Cricetulus griseus: one gene and its partner. The protein of the gene in region 1 interacts with the protein of each later gene in a biochemical or structural test. Links are inferred from orthologs where the notes say so. Each region holds a gene or a part of one and is shown on either strand. Other genes may lie near its edges.

What was found.
Region 2: the proteins of Eif4g1 (region 1) and Eif4a1 form a complex in vitro, tested with the Homo sapiens proteins (3 studies listed by IntAct, with this or other methods). The link is inferred for Cricetulus griseus from reciprocal best matches to the Homo sapiens genes EIF4G1 and EIF4A1.

What each region holds. Positions count from the first base shown.
Region 1 is NC_048597.1:67,977,162-67,980,859, forward strand, and holds the start of Eif4g1 (eukaryotic translation initiation factor 4 gamma 1), read right to left. Parts: upstream 2,812-3,698; 5' UTR 2,659-2,811; intron 1,937-2,658; 5' UTR 1,880-1,936; intron 1,671-1,879; 5' UTR 1,637-1,670; coding exon 1,577-1,636; intron 1,310-1,576; coding exon 1,223-1,309; intron 185-1,222; coding exon 8-184; intron 1-7.
Region 2 is NC_048600.1:83,511,552-83,514,328, reverse strand, and holds the end of Eif4a1 (eukaryotic initiation factor 4A-I), read left to right. Parts: intron 1-241; coding exon 242-410; intron 411-455; exon of another isoform or gene 456-596; intron 597-688; coding exon 689-798; intron 799-894; coding exon 895-1,038; intron 1,039-1,115; coding exon 1,116-1,253; intron 1,254-1,340; coding exon 1,341-1,430; intron 1,431-1,479; exon of another isoform or gene 1,480-1,625; intron 1,626-1,686; coding exon 1,687-1,766; intron 1,767-1,859; coding exon 1,860-2,004; 3' UTR 2,005-2,172; downstream 2,173-2,777. UniProt on the Homo sapiens protein: ATP-dependent RNA helicase which is a subunit of the eIF4F complex involved in cap recognition and is required for mRNA binding to ribosome.

The sequences.
Region 1 (3,698 bases):
GCCTCACCTGTCCAGGGATATAGTAGGCTCCTTGGGAGGCGGAATAGGAGATCTGGGAAGGGATCATCATTACTTGGGATCCAGCAGGGTAGACATGGGTAGCTGGGCCAGGACGGGCAGGGGCTGCACTCTGCACTCTGGAGGCTGCACTGCTCGGGGGCTGGGCCCGGCTAGGGTAGAAGTGCTATTAGGAAGGAGGAAAGCAGTTGGGGTCAAGAAGGGGAGGGAGTCAACACTAAAATCAGCATTCCATTCCACAATGTACATACAATCTCAGAGTACTGTAGGCTTCAGAGCATGGAGACCAATCCTTCCAAAACCCACATGAACTGATGGCTAAGTGGCCTCTTGGTCTAAAACTTGTCTGGAAACTTAGATGAATACTTTGTATCCTGTACTCTCTCACTGCCATGCATACTCTATCACCTCTAGATGATCCCTCTAGAGTCTTCCTAACACCAAGATGCATCATGCTTAAGTAAGGCCCTCGAGGGCAACATACTTCCCAGCATGCACTATTCCACCTCAAATACTGATTAACTGCTACATGCAACAATCTTCCAGTTTTGAGATACTTGCTCTCCAACAGTTAACCTCTAACATGCAGTATTTGGACTCAAACTGAAGACCTCAACATCAAACAAGGCCCCACCCTGAATATCCCATCTGTGTCTAGCTATGGACTAGGGTAGAGGATGGGGTAACACCAAGAGGTTGCTCAGGATTAGGAAAGGGGTATTACCTGCAGAGACCTGAATCCTCCCTGAGAGCACATGGGGACAGGAAAGACGACAATTATCCCCAAGGTGATGGAAGGGGTTTAGGGGGAGTGGAGTAGGTAGGAAAAGAATCCTTCCACTTGGGAAGAACTTGGAGAACAGAAAAAAATGAAAGCGCAGCTGGAAAGTTCATCTCATCACAGTTCAAAGAGAAAGCGAAGAGGAACAGGGCAATGGCAACCTCCTAGTCACAGGAAAGAGCGGGCAGCAAGACCCACAGCACTGTCCCCAATTGTCAAAGGCATGAAGACCCAGTAATGCCACTTTCATAGACTACAAACTTCACAAAGGGTGAGCCACCATAACTAACACAGCACGAAAGAATTCAGAGCAACTGTCAGGAAATTGGGGGCAAGTACACAGCCTCCACAGTTTCCATACTAGTCCCAAACCAGATTTTCCCAGTTCCCACCCAGCGACCTACTCTAACCACAGCCCCTCACCTGGCGGGGCTGAGAAGGCGTGTTCATTTGTGTCGCTTGTGGCGTGCTAAACACCACCGGTGCAGTCTGCCCCGGGGGAAACGCTGGCTGAAGGGGAGAGACCAGAGTTCAGCAAGAGGGGAAGCCTGGGTGGGGCCGAAACCCAAGCTGGTGAAATAGGGGGAGCAGACCTGCAGCAAAAGCCTCAGCAGTCCACATGTTCCCTCCCTGTGACAGCCCCAGGGACAGCCAGGGGCCCTATCTCAATTTGGCAGCAGGCAGCTGCACTTTGCCCTGACACAGATGGGGGTGGGAAAACTGAGAGCTGCATGACCTCCACCCCAACCAGAGTTCTGCTCATTTTGCCTCGATTACCTGTGGGAGTCCAGGGGACCTGGCGGGTGGGGGGCCTGTGGGCTGAGGAGCTTTGTTCATTTCATTTGGTGCCACATCAGGGTCCCCCCAGCACCTGTTGGAAAGAACAGAGCTCGGAACCGGGAAAGGACCCGAGCTTACGGCAAATGGGCTGGGGGAAAGGTATCAAGAGCTAAGAGTAACGTGGATCAAGGGAGGTGCCAAGGGAATGCAGAAACACAAGTGATCCAGACTGTGGATCCCACCAACACACCGCAATACCCCGACCCCACCCTTGCCTGCTCAAACAGCCCCCTCACTCACCCCCTCGGTTAAGAATAAGTCCACAGTGCGGCCTACAGGTTCTGGGCATCCGAAGGCCTGGGGTTGGGAGGTGAGGGGTATCAACCTGGCTCCACGGGGCCCAAGACCAACCAGACCGGAAATTCCAGGTCTCGCTGGCACCAGGCTCCCGGATCACAAATGAAGCCGGCTGCTTCGGCCGTGGTGTCCCCACCCCCCACCCGGGGACACCGGGTTCGGAGCCTGCCGCGGGGCACTCGCACGGGGCCGAAGAGGCCTGAGACCGCCCGGGAACACGAGCCAGGAAGGGCACGAGCCCGGCCCTACCAGCAGGGCTGGCGGCGACGGCCGCCTTGCCGCTCGGGGCAGACGAGGGTCGGCCGCCGGGCGGGGCTGGGGGCTCCTCCCTGCCCGCCGCCGCCTCCTTGCCCTGCGCAACGCGGCCAGTGCCAAAGAACAACGTGTCACTTCCCGGCGGCCGCCCGGGCCCCGCAGGGGGAGGGGGCGGCGGGTCTGCGCCGCGTAGCCTGCGCCGGGCCACGTCCCCGGCCCAGCGAAGGTGGCTGTCGCGCCGCCGCCCCAGCGCCCTCCCCTCCCGGGTCGGCCGGGCCCTGCTCCCCACCCCCACCCGGGCCCGGCCCGGCACACGTGGGCCGGGGATCGGCCTGGCGAGTAGGGCCTGGGCGCGGGCGCGGGCCGGGGCGCCGGGGCGGCGGCGCAGGGTGGCGGCCCCGGCCCGGATGGCGGCGGATGCGGGGGGAGGGGTGGGGCCGGGTCGGGCCCGGACATGGCGGCTTTACCTTCAGTCTCCTTCAGTCCGCGCGGCCGAGCCCCACGCAGCCGCACAGACGTAGTCCACAACCATTTCCGGCTCCCCGCACAGATCCCGCTCGGCGGCCACCGCTTCTCCGCAGGCGCAGCCGGCGCCCCACGTGACCGGCGCAGAAGGCGGAGCCGCGTTGGCGCTGGGGAAGCACATGGGATTTGCTCCGCCCTGTCACGTGACGCGCACTGCCCGCCCTCGTGTCCCCTCCCGAACTTTGGAACTCCCAGGCCGACCCCCTCTGAGGCTCTGGCGGTTCTTTAGTTCATTCATACTTTGCGCATTTATTGAGCGCGTGAGTGCTAAGTGCCGCCCGGGAGCTGAGAGTGCTGAATTTAAATGCAGTCCTGTCCTTGTAAATGGTACACTACAAATTATGTAGCCTCTGAAAATGCTGTAGATTTGATCTTTGATAGTCCTATTAACAAGAAAATGAATGCTGCACCAAAAGAAGTGATGCATTCTAACTGAAGGCGCAATTTTACATTCACTGTTTACAATAAACCAGTTGCTGCTCGGGAAAGGCAAAAATCAATCACGAAAACTTTAGGAAGAAACAATTCTAAAAGTCGAGTGTACAGGTGCATGCATGTCTGTGATCCCCAGAATTCTGAAGGCTAAGGCAGGGAGATTGGCATGATGGTTCACTGGTTAAAGGACTGGCAGCTCTTCAAAAAGACCTGGGTTCAATTCCACTACCACTACAGTAGCTCACAATTGTCTGTAACACTAATTCTATATGCTCATCATGCTATCTTTTGGCCTCTTTGGCACCAGGTTTGCATGTGGTACAGACATACATGTAAGCAAAGCATTCATACAAATGACTAAAAATAAAATTTAAAAAATAGGAACAAATTTTAAAAATTTGAAACCAGCCTAGCTCAAGTTTGAGCTTTTAACGATCTTGTCTTTTTAGTTGTTCTTTTGTTTTGTTTTTGGCTGGGTGTGGTGGTACCGGCCTTTAATCCCAGCACTTAGGAGGCAGAGGCAGGCAGATCTCTGTGAGTACAAGGC
Region 2 (2,777 bases), on another chromosome or scaffold:
GCAGGATGGAGCCTGTGAGTTAGTTCTAAGCCATAAGGGCTGGCGTGGCCTGGCTTGGTATTTTAGAGGGTTTTGTGTAGGATGGAAAACTTAACTGTTAGCCTGTGTTCAGAAACAAGGATTCTGCCATTTGTGTGTGGGGGGGTGTCTTAAGGAGAGTTTTAGATAAATGGATTAAAGGGGAAAGTAACAAACTTCCAGGTGTATATAGCCGAAGCTAACTTAGTTGTCTTTTGTTTAGATTCAAAAGGTGGTCATGGCATTAGGAGACTACATGGGTGCCTCTTGTCATGCCTGTATTGGAGGCACTAATGTGCGTGCTGAGGTGCAGAAGTTGCAGATGGAAGCTCCCCATATCATCGTGGGCACCCCTGGCCGGGTGTTTGATATGCTTAACCGGAGATACCTGTGTGAGTGCCATTTTACAGTTGTCGCACTTTCCTAGGATGTTAGTTGCTCTGTGATGAACCCCATGCGTGTCATCTGAGCCCAGCTTCCCTGTTGCCTTAGCCCAGGTAGTGTTCTACTTACCAGGACTATTTTCTGGCCTGGCAGGGAGGCCTTAGGCAAAGGATCAATCCTTATATTCTGAGAGCAGACTGCTCCTTGCCTGTCCCTTTACTAAGGGACTTAATTAAATGTTTCACATTTCTCTTATTATGTGTTGGTATCTTTTCTGTCTTCCTAGCCCCCAAATACATCAAGATGTTTGTACTGGATGAAGCAGATGAAATGTTAAGCCGTGGGTTCAAGGACCAGATATATGATATATTCCAAAAGCTCAACAGTAACACACAGGTAAGCTGCTGTCTTCATAGGATAACCCATGGCTTGGTTGTGATGTGAGGAGGACAAGCAACCCTTATTGCCATCCACTTTTCTCTCCCCAACTAGGTAGTTTTGTTGTCTGCTACAATGCCCTCAGATGTCCTTGAGGTGACCAAGAAGTTCATGAGAGACCCCATTCGGATTCTTGTCAAGAAAGAAGAGTTGACCCTGGAGGGTATCCGTCAATTCTACATCAATGTGGAAAGAGAGGTGGGGCCTAGTGCAGGAGGCGGACCTGGTAGTAAGTTGTTGGGTATAGCCCCTGACTGATGTTTCCGGATCTCCAGGAGTGGAAGCTTGACACATTGTGTGACTTGTATGAAACCCTGACTATCACCCAAGCAGTAATCTTTATCAATACCAGAAGGAAGGTGGATTGGCTCACTGAAAAGATGCATGCCCGGGATTTCACTGTTTCCGCCATGGTAAGTTTTCTCAGATCTTCTAAGTAGCTGTGTGTGCTTGTGTTTTAAGCATAGAATGCCAAAAGCCTTGTGCTACTTGTTTTCTAGCATGGAGATATGGACCAAAAGGAACGAGATGTGATCATGAGGGAGTTCCGGTCTGGTTCTAGCAGAGTATTAATTACCACTGACCTGTTGGTGAGTAGAGGCCTGTTTCAGGAAAAGCAAGAGGGGTGGGAGGAGTTGAGTCCAAGGTGATTCCCTCTCCAAGGGGCTGACTAGTGCCCCTTTCAGGAACGTAGCAACTTGGAAGAAAACCTGGCATGCCTGAGGTCTCTGGGGGAACAAGAGATGCTTGTTTGTTGCCTTTCCCTGCCTTGGCTGCCTACATGTATTCCTAAATCAGTTGGACAGATTGTACCCTCTGACAGTTCTGTGATCTTTCTTGACCTAGGCCAGAGGCATTGATGTGCAGCAGGTCTCCTTAGTCATCAATTACGACCTTCCCACCAACAGGGAAAACTACATCCACAGGTAAGTAAGGGTCTGCAGTGCCAAATACCCAAGCGCTGAAATCCAAATGTCATCCTCTTTCCCCATTCCATTATTATCCCTTTTTGCCCTTAGAATTGGTCGTGGTGGTCGCTTTGGCCGTAAAGGTGTGGCTATCAATATGGTGACAGAAGAAGACAAGAGGACTCTTCGAGACATTGAGACATTCTACAACACCTCCATTGAAGAGATGCCCCTCAATGTTGCTGACCTCATTTGAGGGGCTGTCCTGTTACCTGGCTCTAGCCAGGGTTCAGTCCTGGGGGGCTGAGGAACAGCTGGAGGGGGGAGGGAAGGGAGCCAAGGGATGGACATCTTGTTTTTGTTTTTGTTTTGTTTTTCTCTCTCTCTCTCTTTGAATAAATGTCACTTTTTGAGGCAAAAAGAAGGAACCGTGAACATTATAGATACCCTTTTCTTTGGGGTAGGTTCTGCCCCAGGCGCCGTCTCCTTCCCCCAACCCCAAAACACTAATCCATTCCCCTAACCTGATTCTAAAGACTTTCCTACTACCCCAGCCAAATCTCCAAAAGTGAATCAAGGGGCTAAAACATGTCTGGCCTCATTTGCTGGACCAAATCTACAGGGAGAGTCCCTGCATGAAGTTGTCCAGGGAATTGTCCCCAGGTGAGGGGAGCAGGGGAGAGAAAATGGTAGCCATTTTTACATTGTTTTGTATAGTATTTATTGATTCAGGAAACAAACACAAAATTCTGAATAAAATTACTTGGAAACTGCCTGTTTGGGCTTCTTGTTTGTTCCTCTCCCACCTGCTGTTTGTGTGGGTCAGCTCCTATAGTGGTTCATTACTGTGTTGTTGCCTCCTGCTGGTGTTCAAAATATATCAAGTGATCCACTATGTACTGAAAACTGGTACTGACAGTACAGGACCCTTCACAAAACGTTAGTCACGAGTATCACATGATACTTGAGGAACTGAACACAGTAATGGGGTCAAGAAGTCAGCAAAACCTAGTTCTGCTTAAGATCCCA